7 linked regions of the Rattus norvegicus genome follow. The protein of the gene in region 1 interacts with the protein of each later gene in a pairwise test. Links are inferred from orthologs where the notes say so. Each region holds a gene or a part of one and is shown on either strand. Other genes may lie near its edges. The genes, in order: Pin1, Rai1, Ankrd40, Zfp446, Homez, Abi2 and Zmiz2.

Region 1 (4,218 bases):
ATGGCGGTATCCCTTATAAATGTAATAGTTTTTTAAAGTGATTTTTTAAAAATTCTTGAAACAGGGATTCTCTGTGTAGCTCTGGCTGTCCTGGAACTCACTTTGTACACCAGGCTGGCCTCAAGCTCAGAGATCTGATTGCCTCTGCCTCCTAAGTGTAGGATTAAAGGCGTTTGCCACCAGCACTAGGCATAAAGTAACATTTTAAAATTCTTATATATATGAATTGCCTGCATGTATGTATGAATGTGTACCACATGCAGGTCTGGTGAATTGAAAGGTCTAATGGAAGGGCAGCTAGTGCTTTAACCACTGAGCCATCTCTCTAGCTGTCTTTTTTTTTTTTTTTTTTTTTTGATTCGTTCATTCGTTTGTTGAGACAAGTTTCCTGTGTAGCCTTAGCTGTGCTGAAATTCACTTTGTAGAGCAGGCTGGTCTCGAACTCAGAACTGCCTGCCTTTGCCTCCTGAGTACTAGGATTGAAGGTATACATTAACACACCGTTTTCCTCAGACTACCAGTTGACTAAAACCGGTCGTTGGAGCCGCCCACCCTCTCCTACCCCCTTTCCTCGGTCTAGTGGTAATGCTCTCACCCATCAGTCACCTGCCTAGAAGTCAGGAGGAGCCCATGGAGAAGGAATAAGTCGAAGTAGGTTCTAAAAAAGACATGGAAAGTGGGTGAATAAACCAGTGAAATGGTTCGCCTTGCAAAAACCGAAAAGGACTGGTTTCGCTTTGGACATCTGGAGGAAAAGGTGGGAAGAAGAACTCAAAAGCCAAATTTAGGCTCTGAATAGTTAGCCTTTTGTCACCAAGGCAACTGCATTGCTATGGCAACGGCAAAGTACAGCAAAAGCACCCATGTACCTTAGTTCCAGCTGGCCACTTCCGCGTGGATTCTGGCGGACCTCCGAGAAAGGCTTGAGAAGGCCGGATTGGCTGCCGCAGGAGCCAGTCAAATAAGCACTATTTTATCGGCTAAGCGCACCAAAAAGGGTGGAGCGCCCTTTTGACGCTTAAAGGGAGCCGCTTGCCGGGTTGGAGCATCCAATAGACGTAGCTTCCAGACGAGCCAATCAGTAGCGGTGTTGGGAAGGTGAGGGTAGTGGGTGGAGGGTGTGTGTAGGGGTGGTCCAGGAGGCCGCGGGAGAGCCCAATAAAAGGCTCGAGAGCTCGAGGCGTTGTGCTGCCGTCCAATTGGCGTCTCGATTGGATGAGCCAATCAACAGCGGCGCTGGTCTGGCGCGGGGTCAGAGCCGCGGAGGCGGAGCAGGCGCTGCGGCAGGAGGGAAGATGGCGGACGAGGAGAAGCTGCCGTCCGGGTGGGAGAAGCGTATGAGTCGCAGCTCAGGTACCTCTTAGGGGTCGCCCAGGGCCCGGGGCGAGGCCTGGAGGTTGCGGAAGTTGGGCTTGAGCTCGCCTGCACAGGCGAGTCGCATCACCGTCCTGCTTCGGGCATGGAGATCTGGCCTCCTCCGCGGCATAACGGGCCCGGAAAGCCAGATACTGAGGTAGGAGGTGGGGCAGGCACAGGCGCGCCCCGGTTCTCGCCCACCACTGGGCCCCGGTGCTCTGAGGCGACGAGTCTGCACCTCGGAGTTCCCTTGAGAGGAAGATCGGGATTCGGTGCAGAGGGCGTGGGCCGCCCTGCTCTGGTTTCTCGGGCAGCATCCGAGACACGTGCCCGCTCATCCCCCTATCGGGACCCAGGGACAGTGATGGCTCCTAACCAGGACAGTTCGTCTCTGGGTCAAGCATGGTGCCAAACTCTTTGAAAGACTTCAGTTCTTTTACAAGTCTACGCCGGTGTGTGCTCCCGCTTCCCCTCCCCCTCTCCCTCCTGCCTTCTCTCACTCTCTCCTTCCACCCCTCCCTCTCTCTCCCACCCACCTCTCCACTCTTCCTCTTCCTCCTATCCCCACCTCCACCTCTGTTCCTCCATCTCCCTCTCCCTCCTCCCTCGCTCCCTCTCTTTTCTTGGTTCATGCTCTCCTCCCCCCCACACCCCGGTTGCTACCATCTTTCAAGAAAGGAATTGCTCTCATATTTCAAGAGGGAGAAACTGAGGCCAGACATGGAAAGAACTCATCTGATAATGCAGTTCAGTCACTGGGAATGCCCTAGATTGCAATGATTTTTTTTTTTTTTTGATCTCAAATGTCCCCTTCCCAGTGTCAGTGGCAACGCCTAGAGTAGCCTACAAGCATTTCAGGTAGCCAGGGTCAATGCAACCTACAGAGCTCACTCAAAATTCTTAGTTATTAAGCATCAAGGTTCTGGACACTGCATATGTTAACTCTCTGAACCCAGCTAGGTTTAATGTCATTCACTTTCCACCTTTTTATCAAGAGTGGATGTGGAAAGGCATTAGACAGAGCCTCATAAAGACAGGTTACTCTTGAATTCCTGATCCCCCTGCTTCAGCTCCCCCAAGTGCTGAGATTACAGGCATGCACCACTTTGCCCAATTTATTTATTGAAACAATCTTTACTAATAATATTAGTAATACTGTATTTAATGTATGTGCATGTGAAGGTCAGACAATCTTAACTTGCAAGAGTTTTCTTCCTTCTACCATGAGTAGATTGTGAACTCCGTCAGATTTGGCTGCAAGCACTTACCCATTGAGCCATTTTCCTTTCTAAGATGTGTGTGTTTGTGTGTGTGTGAGAGAGAGAGAGAGAGAGAGAGAGAGAGAGAGAGAGAGAGAGAGAGAGAGAAAGAAAGAAAGAAAGAGTGCGCAAGAGCGAGCATGAGCGCTCAGACGATACTTATCCAAGGATGACCTTGAACCTCTGGTGTTCTGCTGGGATTACATCACACAGAGGTAAAGTCTTGCTGTGTAGCCCAAGCTTGCTTCCAACTCATGATCCTTGTGCTTCAGCCTCTCACGCACTGGGACTAAAGTTATAAGCCTTTATGCTCTGATGTCCTTATTCTCTTGTCCCAGTCTACAGATGAGAAAGCTGAGGTTCAGGGAAGGTGACCTGACAAAGGTTTTAGTTGGATTTATCCCCAGAGGCTTTGGGCTGCTCCATTCCTAGGGTGGGGTTGTGACCTCTAGCATAAACTTGTCTCTAACTGGGTGTGGTGGCACACAGCTGTATTTCCAGCACTTAGGCAGAAGCAGGAGGAGATCTGGTTCATGGTTGTCCTGGGCTACGTACACTTTTTTAAAAAATACATGTATGGGTATTAGGCTTGCATGTGTATTCCATATGCATGCAGTGCCCACCAAGAAGCCTGAAGAGACAGTTGTGAGCCTCCACATGGGTACTGGAAATTGAACTCCAGTCCAATAGAGGAGCAGATGGTGCTGTTAATCTCCGGGCCATCTATCCAGCCCCCATAGTGAAACTCTTTTACACACACACACCCCTATACCTGCCCCTCTGCTTAGTTATGCTTGTCATTTGTTCTCAGTAGGACTATGAAAAGCCCTTCCTTCATGGGTAACATCCAGCTCTTCTCCTATGCTAGATCAGCTGTGTAACCCAGGTAGACTCAGCCCTTGGAGTGACCCAGAATCTACTGGGTCCTTCCTTCAGGCTTCTGCCATACCCCTTCCTCCTCTTTTACCTTTCACTTTTTTGAGTCCGTCTTGCAAACTTACTTTTACTGGCTTCAATCTGCAGACATCCATCCTCTTGCCTCAGCCTCCCTAGTGCTAGGCAAACAGCATGTTCCACTAAGCCAGAGTTTTCCCTTGAGGTTTTGATTTTCCATCTGTCTCCTTTATGCCCTCACAGCCACTCAGATGACATCAGGCCCTGAGTAATGCTACCCCTTGCTCTCTGACTTAGGCTACCAGTGCAGGGGTTAAGACTGGAGCTTTGAGGGCTGGGGATTTAGCTCAGTGGTAGAGCGCTTACCTAGGAAGCACAAGGCCCTGGGTTCGGTCCCCAGCTCCGAAAAAAAAGAACCAAAAAAAAAAAAAAAAAAAAAAAAAGACTGGAGCTTTGGAGTAACTTTCTCTGTTTATGCACAAGACACAACTGCTGCTGCTGTGAGCAGAGGAGGGGGAGGTGCTGCCTGGGTTTTTGTGGAACGAAGCAATGGGTAAAAACAGTTATACTCTACCTTTTGGTGATATGTGATCCTGGGACTTGAACCTAGAACCTCACAATGCCATGCAAGCACTGATCCTCAGCCCATGCTGTCTGTTTGTTTATCTATGTTTGGAATTGGGTCCAGTGTAGCCAAGGCTATCTCAAA
Region 2 (4,190 bases), on another chromosome or scaffold:
TAGAAAAGGGCTGGCTGGCAAAACTCTCAGTTTGCGTCTATGTAGCATTTCTGTGTTCCCAGGGGTCTGTCTTTAGTGTGGTGGCAGCCCCCACTCCCGCAGGTCCAGCCTCAAAGTCCCAGTCTTCTTTGTTTCATCTTATTCTCTGGGAATCTTCAGGCACTACCTCCCTTGCTGCCCGCCTCGAAGATATATCCTGGGATCAACCAGTGTTGCCCCCTCAAAACCCTGAACTCCTGGGTCTGTAAGTGCTAGGATCTCTGAGGTGCATCTCTGGTGCAATGAAAGGAGGCACGTCATGAAGGTCCCTTCCTACTTGTCTACACCTACACACACACAAACTCCCACACGTCATTCTGTGCCCCAACCCCAGCACTGCTTGTTCGCACCTTAAACAGCTTTTCTGCTCGGTGGGATCCTTCAAGGGCCAGCTTCTGCCTACCAGGTTTCAGACCCTACACTATCACAGGCAGCCTCAGATCCCTGCGTGTGGCCAGTGTACGCACAGGCGCAATGTCCATACTTTCTCAGTCCCTTGGCCCCACACAGCAGCCAGCCCAGTCACAAACAAGCCCATACGAATACACAACGCCCTCGGAACACAGCCCACGCAGGCAGCCCCGCCCACGCAGTCACACTACCACCTATAAACAATCGCACACAAACACCACCCCCACGCAACCACTGCATCACTCAGTCCCGCCGAGACCTACCAGCATGTTCAGAGGCTGGTTTCTAGTTAATCCCCCGCCCCCCATCACCAGCCCGTGACATTCACACGTAGGGCAGAACAGGAATTTATAGCCACACTGATACACGGTCCTGAACGCACAGCCAAGGGCTCACCCGTGGGCTCGTAAGTCACTAGAAAAAATATTAAAGCATTCCCTCCCTTCTAGCTTTGGCACGCGCGCGCGCACGCACAGCACCCCCTTCCCTCCCCGCCCCCACTCGGTCTTTAGGCGCCTAGGAACCTCGCAGCAGTGACCTGGCCACAGCGGTGAGAGCCGCGAGAGCGTCTCCTTGGCGCCCCCTCCTCCCGCTCGCGCCCAGCTTACCACTCCTCCTCCCTGCCCCCTCCCTCTTCTCCCCTCCTCCGCGTCTGGGGCGCGGGCTGCGCGCAGCCAAGCCCCCTTGTCGCGTGCCCCTCCCCGCGCGCGCCCTGCGCCCGCATCGTGCTAGCCCAGTGGACGTGGCCACAAGGCCGTCTCTAATTACCTCCTGTCCCCCCGGCGGCCAGTGAATAATGGCTACTGAGGGCACTCGCAGGCGCTGCTGAGCAGGAAGCGAGGGGCTGGAGAGGCGCGGCGCGCACGGGAGCGCGAAAAGAGAGGAACGAGCCCAGCGCCAGCGCTCGCGGCGCGCAGAGAAAGGAATCGTGTGAGCGCTCACATATTTTTCTCCCAAGGATCTCATCTGGCGGTCGGGTACTGGAAGAAGCGAGGGGAAGAGCGCACCGTTGCAGAGAGACGGCAAGAGAAAAGGGAGACTGCGAGACGCGCCACGCCGGCGCCCCAAGACCCAGGAGGAGCCCGCAGGTATTGTTGGCGGCGAAGCTTTGTGTCTTCGGCGGGCTGCTCCGGGCAAGAGGGCTCCCTGAATCCCGGCCTGCCACCTCGCTCTGACCTGCCGCGAAGTGGGGCTGCTGACGGGGGTCGCCGGGGGCACCCCCTCCCACCGCGCCGCGATCCTTGTTGGAGTTGCGGGTTTGCGTGTTTGGAGGTTTTCCATGTGGGTGGAGGGGATCAGTCTCAAGAGAAGGAATTTCTTTTCTTTCTTTTTTTCTTTCTTTCTTTTTTTAATGGCCGCAGCAGTTAGGTTGTGCTGGGGATTCTCCCCTCCCTTTTGCTCCACAATGCCTTGGTGAGCGGTCACGGCGACCGAGCTACTGGTGGAAGAATTGGGGCTGAGATGTCGCGGCGGGTGGCCGCAGATGGGGATGCTGGAGAAGGAAGGAGTTCACCTCAAGTTCGCAATCTGTATCGGGAAGCTGGTCCGGCCTGGGAGGGCGTTTCGAGCACCGGTCCTACTGTGAGCAACCAGTGAGAAACTTCCCGAGAGTGCCGTCTCCCGGGGGACAGTTCCCTGGCGCCTCTGGGTGCTACTGCTGCCCCTCCTCTCAGCCTTGGAGCGTTTAAGCCCCCTACCCCCACCCCCATTTCCCGGCAGCTTCCGGATCTGGTGGACTGATCGGCTTCAAACACTTCCCTTAGATACCCCTCCCCATTCCCTGTTGCGTTCCCTCTGTCCTGCGCCAGCTAAATCAGCTGAGTGGCCAAGCTGACAATAAAATCTCATGCCTTTGCGGTGAGGGGCAGGGGTCATGACTCAGCCTCTCCTGTGACTGCTGACCCTGAGCCCTAGGCAGGGGAAGGGACTCCCTCTTTCTTCCTTGTTTGGGTTGGAGAGGTTACCACTGGATGGTGTGGAGGGAAGGCGAATAGGGGTGCCCAGCAGGGAGAGTTGGGGTGCACTGGCTGGGCTGTGGATTCTGCCCAACCGGGCTTGACGATTGGCTGGTGCCTTTGGGCACGTAGGAGAACCACTCTAACCTCAGCCTCCTCCCCTCCTGTACAATGCAGGCTAAGAGGTGATCCCGGAGGTGATGTGCTTGTATGACGAAGTGCTTGGCTTCCTGAAATCCACAGCAGACACCACTGCTCTGGTGACCCAGAGATCCGATGCCTGTACTTTTCCTGGGATGAAATGGGGGTGAAGGGCTGCTAAGGGGGGAGGGTGGTAGGAATAGTTCTTTTTCTACACTGGCGCCATGGGAACGGAGGTCTGTCCCAGAGAATTCCTGGGGACTGCAGTCCAGAAAGGGGGAGGGCTTAGCTCCAAGGGGGGGGGGGGATCGTCTGGGTCAGAGCCTTGGCACTGAAAGCTGTCAGATCTTTGGGTTTGTGGAGAGGTGTGGGGCTGGGTGGGCGTTGTGAACCCCAGCTTTGATAGATGACTAGTTGAGCTGCTGGGGGTGGGGGAGTCCAGATACCATAGTAAATAGGCTGTCTGTTGAAGCCAGGGAAGACACCTCTCTCCGTAGAAACACGGTTCTTAGGGGAACAAGGAAGTACCTTTTGGGGTTAGGGAAATGGATTGTTTTTAGAGTGTTCTGGGGCTGTGTCCAGGAACCCGAAGAGTTAACCTTCTCCCTGAAATCTGTCAGTCCCTAAACCACAGAGAAGCATTGTTAGCCCCTCCATGCTAACAGCATGCTACTGCCTGTTAGGAGCTGCAGATCCAGACCGCCTTTCCCTGTTCAAGGCAGCAGCCTCTCTGCCACTAGCTCGACAGGATGCATGCTGGCTCCTCATTTAGGGGGTGCTTGTAGGAAACAAGAGTCAGAGCTTGTGGGTCAAGCAACCGAGCTGTGGCCTTGTGGCTCAAGGGAAAGGTTGGGCCCGGGGCACGGAAACTAGGAGGGATGTCATCCATCATGGGGCTGGGTTTAGGAAGAAGAGCAACCAGACCTTCCTTCCTGACTCTCTGTCTTACCCACACCCACACCTTCACCCCTACAGCCGAAGACCTGGGTCTTTTAGAGTGACTTTCTGACCCCCAGGATAGACTGCGACACTTGGGAGTTGAAACAGCTTGGAGATGAGGACTCTGGGACATAGAGCTTCATTTTGCCAAGCTTGCTGCTGCCTACTGTTCAACCCCAGAGCATAAGCACCTTGGAGAGTTTTGTGTGGTGAAGGAGGGCTGGGGATACAGCACAGAGGGGACTACTGACCCTGCTCTGAACATCACCTCCACTTCCTGTAGGCTGAAGCTATTCTCATAGAACCTCAGAGCCAGGCACAGCAGACAATATTGTCTGGTATTTGGCTAGACAAACATAGGATTAATGATTAATGAGTGAGTCAGTGAGTGAAGGGGTTAGAAGCAGCAGGTCATTTTTTAAAGGTATTCTTGACATATATATAATAACACAGTTTACAAAACACCCAGAAAAACAGAGAAAACAAACAGATTATTGAGTGTCTTAATGGTCTCTGACAATGCTTGCATTTGGTATGGTTCTTCCCACAGGTTGGCTTTGATGGTTGGTGATTTAAAGGCTTTCATGAGTTGTCTGTATTTAGATGTATGTATGTTCTGCTTTTGTTTGTTTGTTTGTTTGTTTGTTTGTTTTGAGGGGGTGCTGATAACACCAGCCTTTTCCTGTTTTGTAACCAGCTCTTTGT
Region 3 (4,338 bases), on another chromosome or scaffold:
TTGGCTTATCTCTTCAGCCCAGATAGAATTCTTTTAAGGAAAGAAAATTTAACAAACAAAAAAACCATAAATTTTGGGTACTGCTGTTGACTTTGATGGTTTGTTTGTTTTTTACAGTTTGGAGGATGAAACCCAGGACTTTGTTTGGGTAAATACTCTTCTATTAAGCTATTAACAGCAGCCTACTATGATCTTTGTAAATTGTCCGCCCCCCCCTTTAAAGATTGCTATTTATTGTCCCTCAGATTGTGTTAATAGAGTCTCAATGCCATTCACATCAGCCTCAGATGGAGTACTATGCTGGATCTGAGAATTAAAATTTAAATTGGGGAAACAAACGAAAGTATAAGCTCAAGCAGCGGTCCAATTTGCCACTGGGGTAGATTTAAGTGTTTATAGTCAGTTGCTATTCATCACTCCTGGTGTGCAGTGTGCGCTGTGTGAATTACCGTGTGCTAATAAACAGACGTTGCTTTTTCTTAAACAGTAACAAGACAAATGCATGCTGTGTGCCCTCGGCAGCCCCGAAAAATGCAAATAAAGACTCCATACCTAAATGTATCCCTTGGTGTTTTATCTCCTCTTTGTTCAGGCCCTCCTCTCTGCCTCCCCAGGGCGTTTTCCCTTAATCTTCTCACCCCATCTGCAAAGTTCTCACCAGTGCCACATCAGGGATCTCTCCAAGGCACCTGGGCTCAGCAAAATAATATTTTCTGTTTCTCCCAATGGGTAGTAGAACAGTGCCATCAAAGGCTCTGAACATCATTAACTAGATTAGGCAAGGAGTACTGCACACCGCTGTTTATGAACACCCCATAGCTCTACCCTCAGTGCCCAGGATCAGGACCCGGATGACTAAGCACCCCACCCCCACTCCCGGTCGTCTTTCCTTACATGACTCCGAGAATAATTATAATTTAAAAGCTATAATGAGTTTCATTTTATAAACCAGAAGCAACGTTAATTTTCATGAAAGCCAAGTTGGAAGAATTTCTGTCTAAAAACGATAAGGGGTAAAAATAAAACAATAACTGAAGTAATTCTAGCTGAATGGTCCCAAGCACTGACAAAAATAAGAACAGTGTCATCTAATCTCTGCAAATAATGGGCATATTTTATAGTGGGATCGTTTTCAGCCCATTTCCCGTCCTACTGGGTAAAAATTGACTCAGATAGAAAAAGAGCTAACCAAACTTGGGGGAGTGGGGGTGGAAACCCACCAATTATTTTTAATGCCTACTAAACAGCCTGCTCCAGAGGATACGGCTTTTCTGGCTCTCAAACATGTCGGGTCCCTCCGCCCCCCCAACTATTCCTGTGTCTGTCCTCCTCGCTGGAAGCTGTGGGGTGGGAGGTCTAAAAATAGCCAATGAATCACAGCAGATAATCCAGTGCAGTGGTTACATAAACAGCGGGCCGGGGCGGCGGGGCCGCGGGTGGGAACGAAAAGTATCTGGGTCAATGTTGTCACACTGAATAGGGTCCCCCGGAGCCGGCCTTCGGAGGCGCGGCGGGGGTGGAGGCCTGGGCCTGCGGGCCTCGAGCAGCTGGGGATCTGCCGGTGGGCGGGAGGGAGCACGAGGCCCCGGGCCGGGCGCGGGCGGAGGCGCGAGTGGGGCGGGCGAGCCCGGCGCTCCCTCCCCATGGCCGGGAGCGGGCCGCGGAGGCGGCGGCGGCGCTGACAGGCTCAGGGCGGGGCGGCCGGGGGCCCGGGGCCCTGGGGAAGATGAGCGCCCTCCTAGAGCAGAAGGAGCAGCAGGAGAGGCTGCGGGAGGCAGCGGCCTTGGGGGACATTCGGGAGGTGCAGAAACTGGTGGAGAGCGGGGTGGATGTGAACTCCCAAAATGAGGTCAACGGCTGGTAAGTGGCGAGCGGGGGAGGCCTAGGGTACAGGGCTGCTAGCTCGGGGCGTGGAGCAGTCAGCCGTGACCCAGGACGCAGGCTAAGGTGAAGCCTGGTACCTCAGGCCTCGCAGGTTGTGCCCTTTCCAGACTAGCCCTACCCCCAATTGCCTCGTGCAGTTAGGAGCGCATCCTTCCCAAATACATACCTTCTGTGGTTCACTGCGGCCAGCGCCCTCTGGGACACTGGAGCCCACGCCAGCCCCCGCGCCCCCTGGCTAACTTGGCCCAAATGGTGATGCTAGAGGCTTTGATTCTCAGCGACTCTGCTCTGGATTTCATCAAGCTTGAATTATTTTGCCATGGGCGCTTCTGAAGAACACTTCGTGCAGAGATGAAAGCATAAGCAACCCAGCAAATGCCAATCTTAAAACCAGCACGATTTCTTTAGCCAAGACCAGGAGGAAAGAAACAACTACAAAACCCCCACCACTTGCATAATAATTTTGCCTCTGTTGTTTCAATACCACAGTGATTGGCTGTTGCCTACAGCTGCCTGTTGAGGGGAGACTCATTTGTTTGCCCTGTAGAATGTTTTGTTTTCTTAGTACAATTTCCAATAGAGAAATTCACCCAAGGCTTTAGATGTCTGCCTGCAGATTTGCCTCCTTCCCAATTAAATCCGGGGTCTGTCTCATGTCTTTGGTTCCAAGTTACTGAGTGCGTGTTTTTTAAAACCCTTTTTGACATTTTACATTTTTTTTATTTAATCCAGGTAATGCTTATCTAGCCTCGTTTACTAGTTTAAAGTTAAAGTGAGTTTTAACCCTCCCACCCCACTCCCCTGTAAATCGAGTCATACATTTTGAAATGGAAAGGGCGCAGGAGATCATTTGAACCCCAGAGAGTGTCTTGCCCTGGTTGCACAATTTTCGGTATGGTAACAGAGTCAGAAATGAGGTTTCCTTATTTCCTAAGAAAGCTACCCGGGTCCTTTCCCTAAAGAAACTAGCTCGGTAGCTGTCCACAGCTAGGAGACAGTGGACACTAATTTCTTGTCTATTTTGAAGCGTTTGCAGGCAAAAAACACTTGTAGTAGTGTTTGCCTTCCCTGGCATCCGATAGCTGTGAATTTCTATTCTGGCACTGGGGGGCAGTGCTGTACAGAATACTGAGCCTGGTCCTGCTGCAGGGTCTGCCTGTCCGCCCTGCTGTGAAGTCTTGGTTGAGTCATTTCGTTTCCCAGTTATTTCAGAAGTGTTGTTAGTGTTTATTGAGATGAGGGATAGTAAGTAGCTGCCATGTACTGAACTTGCTCTATGGCACAAATGTGGTTATAAACACTTGGCTTACCTCAGGACTATCTGGGGACATTGTTATCTTTCTCCATCTTAAAGATAAAGAAACTGAGACCCAAGGAAAATTAAACCATCCAGTTTTCCAAGTGCTCCTAAGTTACTAAATTTGGGATTTAGTAATTCCGTGCGAATGTTAGCCCTGACTTGTCTGTTAGAGCTGAAAAGTGAATCCAACATCTGATGCCCTCGGCACAGTGCCCACCAAGTGCTAGATACCCAGTGGATGCCAGGTGATTTTGAAGTAACCCGATGAGGCTTCCTATAGATTTAATTCCAACTGCAATCAATCCAGTCCAAGAGTGAATTCCTAGATTCCCTTTATCCCACTTTATGCTCTTGGCCTAATGCTTTCAGTTCTTCTCAGCTCGCCCTCTTATATGACCGGACCGTAAAGCTTGGCACTGTCCTTGGTCCCTGTCTTCCCTTCACAAACCACATACTGTCAGCCAGTTCTGCTGCCTCTGTGTTCAGATAGGATCTGGCTACCACTCACAAGCACCACACTGTGATACAAAGCCAGCACCATTTGGGATGCAGGATAGTTCCATAGTCTCCCTCTAACATCCTTACTAGTCTACTTGCTTATACTACATACAGCCTTGCCCCGACTGTGGAACAGTTGGCTTATCACACTCAAAGTCCTCTAATGGCTCCCATATTACTCTGAGAAGAAGCCAATTTGCATTCTTTTCCCTGACCTTTGGGCCTCATCTCTTGAGACCTGCTTCCTTGTTCACTTCTTCCCATTCCCCTGGTCTCCTTGCTTTTCTGGAACAACAGCACACCCTGGGTTCTAGACTTTTGTACTTTGCCTTCCCTCTTGTCTAGAAAGCTTTTCTCCTATACACCCCATGGTTTGCTCTCTGTCCCCATTTGGATCTTAGCTTAGATATTAGCTTTATGCTAAGGCTTTTCCTTGGCTGTCAGTTAAAAATTGTGCAACTCTCTTCCCAACCCTGCCAGTCCCTAATCTCTTACTCTGCTTTATTGTCACACAACTTAATATCCACCTAGCACACTATATAATTTGCTTGCTAATTACCCCAGCTACATTGACTGTAAAATGAGTGAATATTGACAATAGTAGATTTTTCTTTGCCTGACCCCACCCCCTTTTTCTTCTTAGACTTGGCCTTGCT
Region 4 (4,221 bases), on another chromosome or scaffold:
CTTCAGGGTTATTTTTCTCAACCTATCAAAGACCTATATGGCAGATTTCAGGGCAAGGGATTCTTTCCTTGGTATGGCCATCACAGCACGCATGCATGCCCTCGTGCACACACACACACACACACTGTCTTGCCACCAAATTGCCCCTCTTCAGACCTTGCTTGAACCGGCTGCCACCTGGCACAAAGCACCTAAGCTTTCTCTCTCCATCGCCTTTACCTACTCACCTCATCACATCAATTCCTCCTCCCCCTCTACCCCTTTGTGTGTGTGTGTGTGTGTGTGTGTGTGTGTGTGTGTGTGTGTGTGTGTGTGTGTGTTGGGAGGCAGTTTGAGACAAGGTTTCTCTGTGTAACAAGCCCTGGCTGTCCTGAACTAGCTTTGTAGACCAGGAACTTCCGAGTACTGGGACTAAAGGTGTGCTCCACCATGCCCAGCTTCATTACTCTTTTTAATCTTCCTCCCCACCACATCCTGTTTTTGTTCTGTTTTGTTTTGTTTAATCTCTCTACAAAGCCCCAAATGTCCTGGATCTGAGTATGTAGACCAGGCTGACCTCTGCTTCTGAGCACTGGGATCAAAGTGTGCACCCATCATGCCTGGCTCCTTAATCCTCTTTCTAAAAAATAAAATGAAATAAAGGTTTTGCAAATGTAGCTCACTTGGTAGAGTGCCCACCTAGCATGCATGAGGTCCTAGATTTTATCTCCAGCACTGCATAAACTGGTAATCCCAGAACTCAGGAGGTAGAGTCTGGAAAATCAGAACTTTCAAGTTATGCTCAGCTACACAGTGCATTTGAGGCTAACGTGGGCTACACAGACCCACTCTTTCTCACAGGCACTTCAATAAAGGCCAAAGAAAAAGCTCTCACCCCAAGGAAGAATTTTCAGTTTTGTTAGTCAGTGTTGACAGAAGGTAGCTGAAGCTCAGGTAGTATCTGGCCTCTTACTGACCTCCCAGCATATCCTGTTCATAGTGTAGTGACTAGAAGGATGGGACAGCCACTGTGTCTTTCTCCAAGACCTATCCACAACTTCAGTCCTTCAGACTATCTCTGAGATAGACCACTGAGAAGACAGCGATGGTAGGTTGAACAGATGAAAGCTGACACAGTACTCACAAATGCCAGTTCTAGCTTAGTCCTTAGCCTGCTGCAGATGGAGATTCAGTAACCTGCCACCCACGGGGTAGTGGGTAGGAAGTGAGGCTACCTGGGAGAGGCAATGACTGGTTGCATCCTTGCAGGAGTGGGGCCTGATGGACTCATCACAAAAAGAGCTGTGCTGGGGTGTGATGCCGGAGAAATACAACACAGTGGTATCCCAGGGTGAGGATCAATGGCCCTCCCTGTCCTACCTTCCCTGCCCCATCCTCCACACACCTCCCACATGTACTCGGCCCCCAACTGGGGCTCCCAGTGCAGTGGCCTAGCATCCAGCTGCATCTCTCTTCTACCAGAAAGTGCCCACTCCCATACTTTTGTGCAAACCCTTATGTGTCCAAGCCCCCAAATGAATGTTCTTTCCTCCCTAGCAAGCCTGCCGCTGCTACAGCCAGAGACACATGTTGACTCTGAGCTGAGACCAAAACAGGAGACCCCACATGAAGGATCAGAGTCCCTCGGGAGCCATCCCCCAGAAGTGGGAGCCATTGCAGATCCAAGGCTAGTTCAAGCCACTCCAAGTGAAAGACAGAGCCCTTGCAAGGACCCTCCAGGCTTGTCTCCTACACCACTGCTTGAAGCCCCAGCTAGGCCCACACCTCGGAAGCTGTATGTTTGTGAGCAGTGTGGCCTCAGCTTTGATTGGAAGTCAGTTTTCATCATTCATCTCCGCACACACACGAGAGGGCCAGGCCTGGAAAGACCATCACAGGTAGCCTGGGAGCCGGCCATGCGGCGCTCCCCTGGCCTTCGGGCCTATACCTGTGTGGAGTGTGGGCGCAGCTTCAGCTGGAAGTCACAGCTGGTCATCCACCGCAAGAGCCATGCAGGCCAGCGGCGCCACTTCTGCGGGGACTGTGGGTGTAGTTTTGACTGGAAGTTTCAGTTGGTCATTCATAGGAAGATCCACCAGCCAGAGGACCCATGAGTAGCTGGAGAGGCATGTCTCACCCTGGGTGCCTCCAGCCCCTGATGCACCACTTCTGGCATCCTCTTTAGCCAAGAGGAGGTTCTAAGGCACCCCAAGTAAGTCAGGGATTGCAAGAAGATTGCCCTGTCCAATGCCAGGTTATCCAGTGTATGGAGAGGAGGCTGTTCCCTTCCTTTGGTTCCTGCTTTGTGGAGCCAGGCCTGGGTTGGAGTTACTAACCTATGACTGGGGTCCAGCTTGTGCAAGAGGTGGACACTCCCTGCTTCAGGATGCTCCGAAATCACTTAGGTCCCTCCTAAGTGGCTGGGCAAGACATCTCTGTGCAAGATACTGGAAACCACATCTGCCTTTCAATCCTGCTGCATGCGACCCTCAGACTAACATGTTAGATTTCTAATGTAAGTTTTACTTCTATAACAAGAATTTCTAAGTAAACATCCTGACTTTTGGTTCCACTGACCAAAAGAGCAGCCGTGTGTGCTAGTTAGCAGGCCACAGGAACCACAGGGCAGCCGGGCCCTGAAGATCTAATTAGTCACTTCTCTCCTCCAGCTACCCAGTTTCTTGTCCACACACATTGCTCCCCACCTCCCTGGCCTTTGAATTCCTGAACTTGGATGGACTTGGATGAATAGTTGACTTTTCTTTGGGAGTGAGAAGGGACAAGAGTGGCTTCTGAGAAGTTAGACAACACGTAGGTGCCTCAGGCCATGCATGCCTCTGGGTGAAGGCTACACCCCACATAGCCAGTTCACTACTAAACCGGAGGACAAAGGGCCACTCCCTACTGCCCAGGGAACAGTGACCCTCTGGACAGTCACTCAGGATCTTTTCAGTGCACGGTGTCCTATTAACTATGCCTGTAAACTAGGTAGATCAAAACAGATTTACTTACTAATTGTTCCGACATCAAAGCGCTGAAGCAAGTCACACAAATCAAAAACAGACTCACCCTGGAAGCTACCTGAGACCCTTGGCTGATGACCTCTTTTTCCATCTTTAGCAGTCGGTAGTTGTTTACCTTGGTGAATCATTCATATTTGATTTCTGTTTGCAGGGCCTTTTGAGTGGCATGGGGCCCGATATTCCAGGGTAAGGTGATCACCTTAAGCTCAGACGATAAAGTGGGACCTTTCTTTTGTTTGAGACAGGGTCTCCTAATGCAGTAGCTGCTAACCTCTAACTGGTCCTCCTGTCTCAGCTTTCTATATGTTAAAACTATAGGCTTATACCACCAAGCCCAGGTTGATATTTTTAAATTCTATGTATGTTTAAGACAGTCTCACTTTAATGCCCTCAAACTATCTGTAGTCCTCCAACCTCAGCCCCTGAGTGTTGGAATTAAAGTTGTGTCATTGGGCCAGGCTAAGACTTTAAATTCTTTTAATTTTAAAATTTAGAAATACAGAGCAGGATTCAGTGTTGTAGGCAGATCTCTGTTAGTTTGAGGTCAGACTGCTTTATATAGTGTGTTCCAGGATAGCCTGGGGCTATGTAGTGAGATCCTGTCTTAAAAATAAATAAAGAAATAAGCAAATAAATTCTGAAGATGGGCACATCAAAGTGTCATCTAGAAACCTGAGTTTTCAACACTGTCCATTCTTGCTCACTAATCCAGTCTATTGTTTTAGGTGTGTGTGTATATATATGAGTGTGTGTGTATGTATGTATGTATGTATGTATGTATGTATGTATGTATGTATGTACATACATATGTATATGGAAGCCTGAAAAGAGTATCAGGGTCTGCAAGGCCCTGGGTTCAATCCCCAGCTCTGAAAAAAAGAAAAAAGAAAAAAAAAAGTATTAGGGTCTTCACCTCTGCTTGTTAATGTTCATCCTGGAATCCAAACACCAGTGACAGACTCAAACTCTGGTCCTGATGATTTCACATCAAGTGCTTTTAACTGCTGAGCCTGTCTCCAGCTCACAACGTTATTGAAGATTTGCTTCAGTCTGAGTCCCTCTGTGCTGCTCACATGTTCCTCTTCTTTCATGTCCCGTTCTTCCTGCTCACGAGTGCTGTAAGTTTTCATATGTTCCTTAGACTGTTTGCCCATTCATTATAGTTGTCCTAGACAACTGAGAGCAGTGTCAATCCCTACAGCAAGTTCCAGAATCTGCC
Region 5 (4,203 bases), on another chromosome or scaffold:
GCATTTTCTTTCCTCTTTTCCTCCCTCTTTCTTTCCTTCACTCTATTTATTTCCTTCTTTCTATTTGTTTTGTTTTTTGAGAAGGGGTTTCTCTGTGTAATCCTGGCTATCCTGGAACTCACTCTGTAGACCAGGCTAGCTTCCAACTTAGAGATCCACCTGCCTCTGCCTCCCAAGTGCCAGGATCAAAGGTGTACACCTGACATGGAGGCATTTTCTTAATTGAGGTTACGTCCTCTCAGATGACTTTAGCCAGTGTCAAGGTGATGTCTTTATGACGCTATGTAACATAGTACCTTTACCCGCTGAGCTGTCCTCCCAACCCTAATGGAGTCTTGGATCATGTAAACGTTGGGTGAGAAAGAGGTACAGAGGGTTTGGCAACCCTGACCCAAGACACTCCAATCAGATCCTTTTACCATTTTGGACAGTGGGAAAGTCTGGAGGGCCAAGCTCTAGCTGCCTGGCACCCAGCACGAGCTGTGTGGTTAAAGGGACCAGCTTGGGAGAAGCTAATTTCCTCTTAGGTCGGGATGCTTCATCTACTAATGGAATCAGCCACAGGGTAATGAGAACAGCAGACCTGATAGGGAAGCCCTAGTTTGTAGTGTAATTCTAAGTAAAACCATTGTCTAGGGTAAACATTAGCATGGAATGGTTTTCATTGTATCTCTGATAAATAATAGAATGAATAGTTCTTTTCTAGAAGGACGTAGACCTGGAAGGAATTATTGTGGAAAATGGCGGTTGTTTCCTGTGATTGATAGAGTTGTATTACTGAAGGAGCTTCATGGCATTTCCATGACTTTGGTCACAGCTCCAGGCACACCTGGAGTGCTGTGCTTTATTGGGTACTGGAGACAGCGTACAATAAACATGAAGTCACAGAGGTGTGATGTCTCCTTCCCTAAACATAGGTCAGGTCAGGGGCTTTGTTATGAGGAACCAGTTTCACCCAAACACTAACTTCTCTGTAACAATCAGTAAATACGCCTTTGTACAGTTGTTCAAGATTCAGTCTGCAGTGGCTGGCTCTCCCTGGGGCCAGCAAGGCCTTACCACATCCTTGAGTGGCCTGCTTTCTTCCATCATGAGACTCAGAACACCGACACTGGTTGGAGCACAGTCACTGGCCTCCTCATTACGTCATAATAGTCGAGCTGTGATGTCATTGCACAGCACCCACTCAGTACGTTTTGAAAGCGAAGTACATATGTGAAGGAAGAGTCAGCATGAGGACTAGACACCCAGAGAGAGGTAGGTGGAGGCTGGGCAGGGCTTCCGTGGCCCTAGCCTCTTTCCCAACTTGGACATCTTAGTTTGATGGTGGGTTGATCTGAACTCTTTCTTTTTTTTTTTTTTTTTTTTTTGGTTCTTTTTTTTCGGAGCTGGGGATCGAACCCAGGGCCTTGCGCTTCCTAGGCAAGCGCTCTACCACTGAGCTAAATCCCCAACCCCTGAACTCTTTCTTTCACAGAGAGCTTTAATGTAGCTTTTCCTGTTTCAAATCCATCCCAGATTCCCAACACCTGCACTGGTGACCATTCAGCCTTAGAGCTCCCCTGACCTCTGGCATTTCTTAGGAGAGGAGACACCAAACACTGGACGAAACCGAACATGGTCATTTGGTTACACAGTCGAGTAAAACTTCTGTATCCTAAAGTATACAACTTTTAAGAAGAAAATACAAATTTTATTTTTTAAGATTTATTTATTTGTTTACTTATTTACTTATTATCTGTAAGTACACTGTAGCTGTCTTCAGACACACCAGAAGAGGGCGTCAGATCTCATTACAGATGGTTGTGAGCCACCATGTGGTTGCTGGGATTTGAACTCAAGAACTTTGGTAGAGCAGTCAGTGCTCCTAACCACTGAGCCATCTCTGCAGCCCGAAAATACAAATTTTAAATACAAGATTGGGCATAAAGTGAACGTTTAAGGACTGGGGAAATGCAAATCAGTTACAGTTTTTAAAAAGCTGATGAAAGGGGGTCAGTGGTAGAGCGCTTGCCTAGGAAGCGCAAGGCCTTGGGTTCGGTCCCCAACTCCGGAAAAAAAAGAACCAAAAAAAAAAAAAAAAGAGAGAGCTGAGGTGGAGAGCTATCAAGGAAGATTTGGCATCAATCTAAAACACTCGTGAACCCCCACATACATGCACGCTACCAAAAAAAAAAAAAAGCTGATGAAAAATTACCTACCTGGCAAACAATTTTTTTTCCATGTGTTTGGATACCAAAAAAAATCAGATTGAACTTTTTTGTTTTTGTTGTTTGTTTGATGGGAGGTCTTACTATATAGCCCCAGCTGTCCTGGAACTCACTATGTAGACCAGGCTGTCTTCAAACTCACAGAGATCCACTTACCTCTGCCTCCTGAGCGATGGGATTAAGGGTATGCACCACCATACCTGGCTTATTTGTGTGTGTTCAAGACCCACACATAGAGACAGAGGGCAACTTTTTGGGATGGCGTCCCTCTTCCAGGGTGTGGTTCCCCTAGAATGAAACCTAGGTCAGCAGGCCAGGCAGCAGGCGCCTGCACCCATCGCGCTGTACCCACCCTGCTGCACTGACAGCCTTTTCATAGAACAGGTAACTAATACTTACTGCAAAGAATAAGGTTCTGAACCATGGTGGCACACGTCTCTAATCCAGCACGGGGGAGGCAGAGGTAGTTGGATCTTTCAGTTAGAGGCCAGCCTGCTCTTCAGTGAGTTCCAGCACAGCTAAGGTAACAGAAAAACCCTGTATGGAAAAACAAACAAGAAAGGATTTCAGTTTTCTAGCATACTGTTAATTTTCAGGTTATGGTAATTTTAAAAGAATTACACATTGTGACTTGTGGAGTATCCACCAGAGAAGACTGCCCGGACACGGGTTTTAGCCAATAGGAAGTCTATGAGTCAGCTGGTGACAATACTGGGTACTCAGGGTCCCAATAGAGCTCTGATCCTTTCTCAGAGTGAGCTTTTAAGCACAAAAACCATGTCTTCAGTTAACAACAGAAGTGGAACTAACAAGCTAACAAGCAAGGTTAGTATATCTTGAGACTTTCCCAGAACTCTCATCAGCTTCGATGGATTGGGCCTTTGTTTTTGTTTAGCAGGAGGCTATCTCCGTGCTGAGTCTTACAGCCTAAATGGTATTTCCATCATGGAGTCAGTTGTGGCAAGGTCTGGGGCCTGTTACAGTGATTATGTTATAAAAAAATTTCAGGGGGTTGGGGATTTAGCTCAGTGGTAGAGCACTTGCCTAGCAATCGCAAGGCCCTGGGTTCAGTCCCCAGCTCTGGAAAAAAAAAAAAAAATTTCAGACCAAGCATAATAGCTCACACTGGTAATTCTAGCCCTCAGGAGGCCAATGGAGAAGAATTGCCTGGAGGCAAGGTTAGCCTAGCAGGTGAATGAACCTTGGCTACTATTGAGAATGTGTCTTAAAAGACAGACAGCATTTTTTCCAAACTCGGAAAAATGGACCATTTCTTTCATATTTGGTGTAAGGTATTAGACTAGGGATGGCAGAACAAAATGGCGGAAAGGAAGCATCTTGTACCTTTTTTTTTTTTTAAAGATTTATTTATTTATTATATATAAGTACACTGTAGCTGTCTTCAGACATACCAGAAAAGGGCATCCAATCTCATTACAGGTGGTTGTGAGCCACCATGTGGTTACTGGGATTTGAACTCAGGACCTCTGGAAGAGCAGTCAGTGCTCTTAACCGCTGAGCCATCTCTCCAGCCCCACCTTTTTTTTTTAAACATTTATTTATTATGTATACATCATACAGCGTTCTGCCTGCATGTATGCAACTACAGGCCAGAATCAGGGCACCAGACATGATTACTGATGGTTGTGAGCCACCATGTGGTTGCTGGGAATTGAACTCAGGACCTCTGGAAGAGCAGACAGTGCTCTTAACCGCTGAGCCATCTCTCCAGCCAAGCGCTCTACCACTGAGCTAAATCCCCAACCCCTATTTTTTTTTCTTTTCATGTAATTAGTTTTTGTCCGGGTTCTGTTTTCAGTGCTGGGGCTCCCACCTCTATTACTGAGCGAAGACCAGAAGCCCAAGATGAAGATAATAATTCCATTCTGAGCTTTTTCCTTATCGTAGTCTCCTCCACCCCCACGCTCGCTGCCCCTGGACTTGGCCTTGAATGTGATCACTCTGCCTCTGCCACTCGGAGTGCTGGGATTAC
Region 6 (4,450 bases), on another chromosome or scaffold:
TCATGTATTACAGGGTCACAGACAGCATCAGGACCCTTGCTGGTCAGTCCTTCCATCACAAGAACCAGCCAAATGTACAGCTGGCACTGCACAAATCAACTATCACCAGTTTTATTTATCAATGTACTACAAACAAATCATGTAAGAAATATCATCCTGAGAAAGTACTGCAGTAATAAATCCAGTGACTCCCACAACGGAGGACGACCTAAGAAATAATAATATGTAAACTCTACCTCACATACTGAATTTAAAATAACAGATGGCTTAAAATTCAAAATCCATTTCTAAAAAATAAGTATTTGTAATTTTACAGTGGGTTAGGAACATAATTCAGTGGTAGCCTGTATTCTCAGCATGCACAAAACAGCCCCCAACACCAAAATTGAAAACGTATAAATAACACACGAGCTTTGTTACTCTTTAGGCTAGAATTATAAATGCTAAGACAAAAGTGATCTCTTCCACCTCTCCACTTTATCCATTCATGTACTTTCCCTTTATGTGGCATTATAATCTCAAATTATGGTAACATTCATCTTTCAAAAACCTTTTTCTTATTAGTTGGCCACAATTGCAATCTAATCACTTTTCCATTCCCCAATTTCTCTTCTGACAGACAAGACTTTCTCATAATATGCTATGCAAGGCATCAGAATAAGCCCTTTGGGTCGTTTAGGTTTTGCCTCTCCTAGCAGCTGTGACTCCCTGAAAATAATAAGCATCACCTTTCTGCGCACAATTCCCTACCAAGTATAAATTAACTATTCTTGTTCCTCAGTATACAATAGGGATTAGTTCTAGGACACACTTCTGCTCCACCCCAATCCCCACTCCAACCCCATCTTTGGATGGTGAAGTCCTTTACATATAATGGCATAATATTTACATTCAATCTATTACACATCCTCCCCATAGTTCAAATCTATACATTACTTACACTATCTAATAAAATGTAAATGCCATGTTAAGTAGTTGTTACACTTTGGGAATGACAAGAAAAAGAAAGACTATTTCTTTCTCCAACAAGAAGGGCTGATAGCACATCATCGTATTACTATGGATTCACTCACAGATCTGTCTCTTGAACTATATCATAAACCCCTTAAGAGTTTAGGGGTGTACCACCACCGACAGTTCTGGGCCAAAGAAGACTGGAAATCAAGCGATAAAACTTTTGAATACTTCCTACATAGCTCTGTATTAGTAAATGATCTGACAGACATTTGTGAGGGACTGTGGTCTATCTTTGACCAAAGACACACACCCTTTCTACTGAACACACACTTTCCACCACTTCTTTAAGGGGAGAAGATTCAATTATGTCTGATTCACTCTCAATACAAATGTTTACAACACTGGAAAGGGGGCCACATTTGAAATATAAATACATAAAATATCTAATAAAAATGCAAAAAAAACCTCCAAATGCTTACAACATAATAGAACTCAGTACATTTATAACCAAATAAAATCTAAGCACATTTTCTTTAACAACATGGTCCTCAAAAATCTTAAGAACCTATAAATTCCAGCATCTGGTTCTTTTTTTTTTTTATTCATAGTAAGATTTGAGAATGTTTTCCAATACAACTGTTGTTAAGAAGACCTGCAGAGACGGAGGTAGGAACAAGAACATTAAAATATGGGTAATCGTTTAACACCATGCTTACATTCCACTTTATCCAAAGAATTTAAATGGGAGTGGGGAAAAAAAATGTAGGCACAACCTGTAATTCAGTATAAGCCCTACAGAAAACGAGATACTAGATTTGCAAACCATGAGTTAATTTTTAAAGTGTTGTTTTAATCCACAAAATTTTTACATTTATCCCATGACCAGCTGGTTCTCATCTCACCAATGCCCCGCCCCCCTCCTCACCTTCCTACACACACACACACACACACACACACACACACACACACACACACACACAGAGGAGTCCCTGTGCCAAACCAACCATCATGGGGAAAAAAACCTAAACCATGTGGTTCGTTTCCCTGATTCTTTATGGAAATAGTCATAGTTCTTTTTCCCAAAGGAAAATCACCTATTCTAACGGGAACTGGGAAGGAAAAGCAGCTCATTATCAGTTTCCCACAGGGAAGAAAAAAAAAATGGTATTAACTTGCAATAAGAGACAGCCTTTCCACCATGTCCCCTTTACAACCTAAGTTTAAACTTAAGGGTTAAGAATTTTTGTTTTGTCTTCAGGGTACATTCGCAGGAATGGAGAAGTGAGGCATTTCAGTTTGCAGGAATAGGACCCCTTCAAAAAAGATCCCTCGGAATTTGTGTGATCCACACAAGCCTGCCATCCAGCAAGATTCCGTTATACAGAAAATGCCACTCTCCACCTCCCCCGCCATCCGGAACACTGACAGGAGAGGACAGCGGGGGCGACGGGGCAGAGGCGAGGGGGCGGGACGCCACGCACCGCACCGCACGGCACCGCACCGCACTGGGGACTCGCACGGGGCTGCTGGGGCCTTCTGCGGACCCCGTTTCCTCCAGCCGCCGCCGCCCTCGCCCCGTCTCCACCCCGGCGCCGCTCCCGGGACCTAGTACCGCGCGGCCTCCTCAGCCCGCCGTCACCCCGCGCGCCCCTCACACCCCACGTCCTATCGCGCCGCGCCGCGCGAGGGGCCGCGTCGCACCTGGATGTAGTTGTTCTCGCAGTAGTCGGCCACCCGCTCCAGATTCGTGTAGCTGTCGAAGAGAGCCCGGCGGCCCCCCGGGATTTCCTCTTCCAGCAGCATCTGCAGCTCCGCCATCTTCACATCCTCCTCTTCCTCCTCCTCCTCCTCCTACTCCTCCTCATACAGCCCGCAGAGGCAGCGGCCGCGACGCCCGGGAGAGGAGGAGCAGCGGCGAACGCGGCGGGAATCGGGAGGAGCGAGCTGCACCCCCCACGGCGCGCGACAGGGGAGGGGGCGGCGGGAACGGAGGCGGGGCGCGAGCCGACAGGCCGCGAGGACGGTCACCGCGGCGACGGGCGAACGGACGGGCGCGCGCACGCGCGCTCCCCTCCCTCCGCCCCCGAGCGCCCGAAAAAGATTCCCACCCGCGCCGCCCCTCCCCCACTTCCGGCGTCTCCTAGCGACGGGAGGGCGGGGGCCGGGATGCGCGCGGGAGCGGGGCTCCCGGTTAACCCTTCGGCCCCGCGCGGCCTTCCAGGCTCTGGGAGTCCTCAGTAGCCTTTGTTAGCCGGGCGGGAATGGGCCGCCGCTCCCTGCTGCTTCCCGCTGCCCACTGCTGCTTCCCGCCGCCGCCCCCCATCTTCACCTCTGCGCTGCACCCGGGGCGGGAACCCTGTGGAGGTCATCTGCCTAAGGAAGCTTTCCAGGCCCCTGTGGAGGCCTAGGGAGAGGACACAGCCCCTTCACAAGCTCTGTGAAATATAACACCTCATCAGAACAGGCAGAGCCACTGAACTTCCAAGCAGCTCTAAATGCCACCTTGGACCTCATCGTCTTCTTTACAAATTACTGTTACCTAATCCCAAACCAATTCATTCATTCATTCATTCCCTTCCTCCCCCTGTCCCCACTTCTTGGCATGATCTCCAGTGTAGACTGAGCTGGCTAGAATTACAGCTACAAGTTGTAGTTGCCCAGCCTGGGCCTCCTTCTCACTTGACTTTTTTCAAAATTTCGATGGTAGCTTTGCTGGTACTAATTTCTTTATTCACATGGTTGTCGCATGAATAAAATTAAAAAACACACATTGACAAATGTGCGTTTTTCAGATTAAGTACTACAAAAATTCAAGGTAGTTCATTCTGATCTTGTAATCTGTATATCTAATCTTTTTTCATAAATATGATTGCCCCACAATTGTGGAGTAAACCCTGTGTTGTTACATTAGCTTTATGATAAATACATTACCAGTGTGTGTGAGCTTTTGTAGCAGAGCCTAAAACAGTATTTTTAAATGATGATATGGTCCAGCTGGATCTATTGTTGACCACTTTAGACACCTGTCTTAGCGTGAATGTTCTAAGTGTGAGAAGCTTGTGAAAAACAAAAGGGAGAGCTGGAGGGGAAAGAAGAGAAACCTAAAGAGTATATAGGGAGATAGTTATGTATAGGGCACATACACTTAGTTCAGGAAATGAAAGTACAAACAGCTGAAGAAAACAAACTCCAAACTTCAGATCAGACTCTTAGACAAACTTCAGTAGATCAAAAACCTGTGTTGGGCTGGAGAAATGGCTCAGTAGTTAAGAGCATGAACTGCTCTTCCAGAGGACCAGAGTTTGGTTCCTAACATCCCTGTCATACTGTTCACAATAGCCCTTAACCCTAGCTCCAGGAGATCCAACACCCTGCTCTGGCATCCACTGGTGGACTCATGTGGCATATTCTCACATAGAAACACACACATAAATAAAAAAAAAACTTTTAAAGAATTTTTTAAAGATTTATTTATGTAATGTATATAAGTACA
Region 7 (4,351 bases), on another chromosome or scaffold:
ACAAAGGCAGGGACACAGGAGTGGAGTGGGTGGGAGAAGTAAGAGGTTATTATGCAATGCCCTGGCTCTCGATCCATGGGTCTCCACCCCTTTGGCAGTTACATGTTGGATGGATAATGGATACCCCGCATCTCAGATATTTATGATTCCTAACAGTAGTAAAATTACAGTTATGAAGTAGCGACAAAATAATTGTATGTTTGGGGTCCCCGTGACATGAGGAACAGTATTGATGCTCCCAGCATTAGTAAGGTTGATTTATTGATAGAGTGTCTGTTGGAGAAAATAAAATCATCCTGCAGATGGAGAGTAGTGGCATGACAAAGCATGTGTTTGAGAGTATCTACCTGGACACTTGAGCATGATCAAAATGTACAGTGTAGTTTGCAAGAACAATAGCAATAATAATTGTGGGTAATCAGGAGAATGCGCTCTTTTGAAACTTAAGGTAGAAAAAGTGGGTGCCTTGCAGGTGGTGTCTAATCTGTCACCTGGGGGTCTGCATGCATACAAGTGGAAGATGATTCCTACAGATTTTGTCCAACCAAAAAAAAAAATCATGAATTTACTTAACACATGAGATTTTTTTTTTCTTTTCTTTTTTTCGGAGCTGGGGACCGAACCCAGGGCCTTGTGCTTGCTAGGCAAGCGCTCTACCACTGAGCTAAATCCCCAACCCCCACATGAGGTATTTTTAAGTCTATTGCCTGGTTCTCTAGTACGAACTTCATAGGTGACAATCCTCATGTTGCAATGTCAAAGGGCTGGATGAGCCTGCCAGGTTTACAGGATGCCAAAAGTATCTATAGATCCATTTCGTTTGGCTAGAAAATAGTTTTTTAATTATTTATGTACATAATTACTTTGCTAGCTTGTTACATCTTTGCACACTATCTGCCTGGTGCCCATGGAAGTCTGAAGGGAAGTCTGAATTCTGGGAAATTCCACCTGTTGGCTCCGGGAAGTGAAACCTGGGTCTCTGCAAAACCGGTCAACCCTCCCCCCCCTCCCCTTTTCTTTCCTTTTTTGACTTTTCAAGACAGGGTCTCTGTCCTGGACTTGCTTTGTAGATCAGGCTGGCCTCAAACTCAGAGAACTGCCACCTCTGCCTCCGAGTGCTAGAACTAAAAGTGTGCACCATCACACCATGTCTGACTCCTGTCAAGGCTTTTAACCACGGAGCCATCTCTCCAGCCCATAGATCACAGTGATTTCAACACAGAGGTGAAGGAGGCAGCACTCCAGGAAGGGACTATTTGACTGTGTAGAAGGCTACGTGGGCAGGTGTATGCTGTTTCCACTTTCAATGATGGGCTTCTTAGTCCCTGTCTCCAAAGACGCGCCGTCCGCCATGAAAGACTCGAAGGTTCCAGAGGGTTCTAGTCAGTGTTCAGTCACGAACCGCCTAGTCTACCAGGCTGTGTGGTCAGGCCCAGGCCCAGGCCCAAGCCCTGCCTGCCCTGTCGTGGCTCCGCCCCGCCATAGCCCCGCCCCCGTTCGGCCCCTCCCCGGTGGACAGCAGCAGGAAGCGCGCGGGGCTCCTCCGACGCCGCGGTCGCAAAGGTGCGGAGGGGACGCAGGGTGCAGGCCGGGCGCACTGAACTTCCTGCACGGCAGCCAGTCGCCGCCCGGGCCCAGCCCCGGCCCATCCTGGCCATGCAGGCCCGCACTCGCCCCTGCCCGAGCCTCCGGAGCACCGCTCGGGGCTCCGCTGCTCTGGCCTGGGGGGCGGGGCCGGCGGCGCGGCGTCATGCATATGCATGAGCAGCGCGGCGGCGGCTCCATTGTGCCCTCCGAGCGGCGGCGGCGCGATGGCGCGGGCGGCGGCGGCCCGGGGGCGGCGGGCGGCGCCGAGGGCGGGCTGAGCGCATGGAGCGGCGCGGGCCGGGGGCCGCGGCGACGGGCCGGGCCGGGCCGGGCGGAGGTGAGCGGCTAGGAGGCGCGGGGCACCGCAGGCGAGCGCGGGCGGCGGGGCGCGCAGGTGCGGCAGGTGCGGTGGCAGGTGCGGCCGGTCCCGGAGCCCCGGACGGTTTTGGCTTGGCCTGGCTCTACCGCCCACCTTCGGGTACCTGTCCCCTGTGCCGTGCTATCCGGCTTTCTCACCCCGCCGCTGAGCCTTTGTTGGGGTTGGCCCAGGGGTGCAAGTGGCCTTCGGGGGCCTCCTGAGCCGAGGAGGCTGATGGGCCCTCACCCAAGCCTGTCGTTCCAGCTCTGGAGCGGGGCATGCTCACCTTCCGGAGCACCCCTCGGGTTCCCACTTATGTGCTCACCATCTGGGTGATTCGAGGGCGGGGGTTGTGGGGTGGGAGCCGTTACTGGCCCTAGAAGGAGCCGCTCTGCCCCTAGGCTGAGGACGCTGACCTGTCAGTCCCTGGCCGGGTTTTTGACAGGAACACCGTTTTCCAAACTGAAGCTCAGGCACGAAAGTGCCCCACTCTCCCTAAATTTTTTGTTTTCCTTGGTACCCTTAACACCACTCCTAGGTGCCCAGTCCCCCCCCCTTCCCGCCCCCCAAAGTATCCCGTTCCTTCAAGGTATCATTTTCCCAGCACCCAGTGCCTTTCTTACTCCGTCACCTTTCCTCCTTGCTTCCCCTATCCTGCCCTCATCCTTCTAGTGTTCCTTCTCTTAGTAGTTAGAGACAGTCTTTGGGTGATGTCTTTAACTCATTTGTGCAGAAAATTTGATAGGGATGCAAATAGCACATGTGACCTGATCTATGTGAGTAGGATGAACACCACCAAGTCCTGGCAAAGCCAGTACCAAGGGCATCCCTTGGCACTTGAGAATGGTAACTAGGGAGGGAAGCTTAACCTTACTCACCAGAACTGACCTCAAGGCCCTTGATGTGCTCCCAGGGTGTGGAAGCAGGCTGAGGTATAATGGGAATAAGCAGGTAAGAGACAGGCCCAGCATGTTTAGGGAGCATCCTGATTACTAGGGTTGATCTCTGAGGGCTGATGCTGAGGACTTAAAAGTGCCACATAGCCTAGAGTGGCCTCCAGATTCCCATTTCAAACGTTGGAGATTGAAGTCAGGTTTGGTTGGGCTATTGGCAGATGCTCATTCCTGGAGTCCTTCATGAACAGTTGTTTGTCTGTACACTGAGGCTAGGAAGGGGGTAGTACTGTTGCCTCACAGGCAGGCAGGACCTCTAGCCTTCTGGGCACCTGACTACCCTTCCTTTGATACTAGGGACTCTGTTTCTGTCTGCCATACTTCAAACCTGTCAAATACTCATCCTCCCCCTACCATCATGTGATTTTACTGTGTTGCCTTGAACTTGTAGGTTTAAATGATCTTCCTGCCCCCTAGCTCCTGCGAAGCTAAGACTACATACAGGTTTAGGCTACCTCACCCGTTCCTGGAACTGTCATTTCTCTGGAGCCTTTTAGTCCCAGTTTGTTTGTTTGTTTGTTTCTTTTTTTTTTCTTTTTTGGAGACAAGGTTTCTCTGTGTAGCCCTGGCTATCCTGGAACTCACCTTGTAGACCAGGCTGTCTTGAACTCACAGAGATCCACCTGCTTCTACCTCTGGAGTACAGAGATTAAAGGTGTATGCCACCACTGCCCAACTGATCCCACTTTCTTAAGTTGAAGCCTAACCCTGGAACTTTGGCGGAATGAACCCTGTTTTGTGAGCTGTTGAGCAGGGCTGGCCTAGCGTAGGAGTGTTGGCTGAGAGTGGTACCCATTACTGGGTCTGTTCTTAGCTGCTCAGACAGGTAGAAATGGATGGAGCCAGGAGATTTGGGGTGAATTTGCTCTGGGACACCTGGAAAGCAAGTTTTCTGGAGCTCTGTGCCTGAGGGAAGACATGACTTGACCCCCAGAAAGCAGCCTCGTACTCCAGGATGGACTTGAGGTCAGAGCAGATCTGTTAGGGAACCTGGTTTCTAGCTGCAGTTGGCACACTGAGAACCAGGCCTCCTCCCCAGCTCTGCCTTGGAAGTGGGAGGTAGGTCTGTACTCCGTAGAATGCCTCCCCGTAATCAGGAGCAGGAGGCCCACCGGATATCAGATCTGGGGGCTTGGGGCCTTCCCAGCAGACCTACATGTTGAGGTGTGAACTTAGGAGTTCAGTTTAGCAGGAAGTCCTCCCAGCAAAGAGAGGCATGCTGAGGGGGAACTGGAAATGTCTGTGGTCTCTGTCCACAGCAGAGAAGCATTGTGGGTGGAATTCCCCAGGCCCATGTGATGTAGAAGGCCCCTGTGGGTGCCTCCCCCCCCCCCCACACCTGCCCTGTTCTCTTCTCCCTAACTCTGCATTTCCTAGATCAGAGGCTCTCAAACTGTGGTCAGGTGTGTTAAACATGCAAGGCTTAGGACCCGGCCTGTCCTGATGACCCTGG

The links.
Region 2: the proteins of Pin1 (region 1) and Rai1 interact in binary tests that used the Homo sapiens proteins (3 or more experiments, as listed by UniProt). The two-hybrid records come from large-scale screens. The link is inferred for Rattus norvegicus from reciprocal best matches to the Homo sapiens genes PIN1 and RAI1.
Region 3: the proteins of Pin1 (region 1) and Ankrd40 interact in binary tests that used the Homo sapiens proteins (3 or more experiments, as listed by UniProt). The two-hybrid records come from large-scale screens. The link is inferred for Rattus norvegicus from reciprocal best matches to the Homo sapiens genes PIN1 and ANKRD40.
Region 4: the proteins of Pin1 (region 1) and Zfp446 interact in binary tests that used the Homo sapiens proteins (3 or more experiments, as listed by UniProt). The two-hybrid records come from large-scale screens. The link is inferred for Rattus norvegicus from reciprocal best matches to the Homo sapiens genes PIN1 and ZNF446.
Region 5: the proteins of Pin1 (region 1) and Homez interact in binary tests that used the Homo sapiens proteins (3 or more experiments, as listed by UniProt). The two-hybrid records come from large-scale screens. The link is inferred for Rattus norvegicus from reciprocal best matches to the Homo sapiens genes PIN1 and HOMEZ.
Region 6: the proteins of Pin1 (region 1) and Abi2 interact in binary tests that used the Homo sapiens proteins (3 or more experiments, as listed by UniProt). The link is inferred for Rattus norvegicus from reciprocal best matches to the Homo sapiens genes PIN1 and ABI2.
Region 7: the proteins of Pin1 (region 1) and Zmiz2 interact in binary tests that used the Homo sapiens proteins (3 or more experiments, as listed by UniProt). The two-hybrid records come from large-scale screens. The link is inferred for Rattus norvegicus from reciprocal best matches to the Homo sapiens genes PIN1 and ZMIZ2.

Annotation. Positions count from the first base shown.
Region 1 is NC_086026.1:27,464,353-27,468,570, forward strand, and holds the start of Pin1 (peptidyl-prolyl cis-trans isomerase NIMA-interacting 1), read left to right. Parts: upstream 1-1,289; 5' UTR 1,290-1,295; coding exon 1,296-1,353; intron 1,354-4,218. UniProt on the Homo sapiens protein: Peptidyl-prolyl cis/trans isomerase (PPIase) that binds to and isomerizes specific phosphorylated Ser/Thr-Pro (pSer/Thr-Pro) motifs.
Region 2 is NC_086028.1:45,446,179-45,450,368, forward strand, and holds the start of Rai1 (retinoic acid-induced protein 1), read left to right. Parts: upstream 1-1,248; 5' UTR 1,249-1,538; intron 1,539-4,190. UniProt on the Homo sapiens protein: Transcriptional regulator of the circadian clock components: CLOCK, BMAL1, BMAL2, PER1/3, CRY1/2, NR1D1/2 and RORA/C. Positively regulates the transcriptional activity of CLOCK a core component of the circadian clock.
Region 3 is NC_086028.1:79,777,443-79,781,780, forward strand, and holds the start of Ankrd40 (ankyrin repeat domain-containing protein 40), read left to right. Parts: upstream 1-1,523; 5' UTR 1,524-1,726; coding exon 1,727-1,860; intron 1,861-2,050; exon of another isoform or gene 2,051-2,635; intron 2,636-4,338.
Region 4 is NC_086019.1:82,676,737-82,680,957, forward strand, and holds the end of Zfp446 (zinc finger protein 446), read left to right. Parts: intron 1-1,248; coding exon 1,249-1,330; intron 1,331-1,536; coding exon 1,537-2,093; 3' UTR 2,094-3,678; downstream 3,679-4,221. UniProt on the Homo sapiens protein: May be involved in transcriptional regulation.
Region 5 is NC_086033.1:32,306,479-32,310,681, reverse strand, and holds the start of Homez (homeobox and leucine zipper protein Homez), read left to right. Parts: upstream 1-1,207; 5' UTR 1,208-1,232; coding exon 1,233-1,257; intron 1,258-4,203. UniProt on the Homo sapiens protein: May function as a transcriptional regulator.
Region 6 is NC_086027.1:69,319,706-69,324,155, reverse strand, and holds the start of Abi2 (abl interactor 2), read right to left. Parts: upstream 2,952-4,450; 5' UTR 2,776-2,951; coding exon 2,659-2,775; intron 1-2,658. UniProt on the Homo sapiens protein: Regulator of actin cytoskeleton dynamics underlying cell motility and adhesion. Functions as a component of the WAVE complex, which activates actin nucleating machinery Arp2/3 to drive lamellipodia formation.
Region 7 is NC_086032.1:85,463,850-85,468,200, forward strand, and holds the start of Zmiz2 (zinc finger MIZ domain-containing protein 2), read left to right. Parts: upstream 1-1,523; 5' UTR 1,524-1,924; intron 1,925-1,957; exon of another isoform or gene 1,958-2,065; intron 2,066-2,091; exon of another isoform or gene 2,092-4,351. UniProt on the Homo sapiens protein: Increases ligand-dependent transcriptional activity of AR and other nuclear hormone receptors.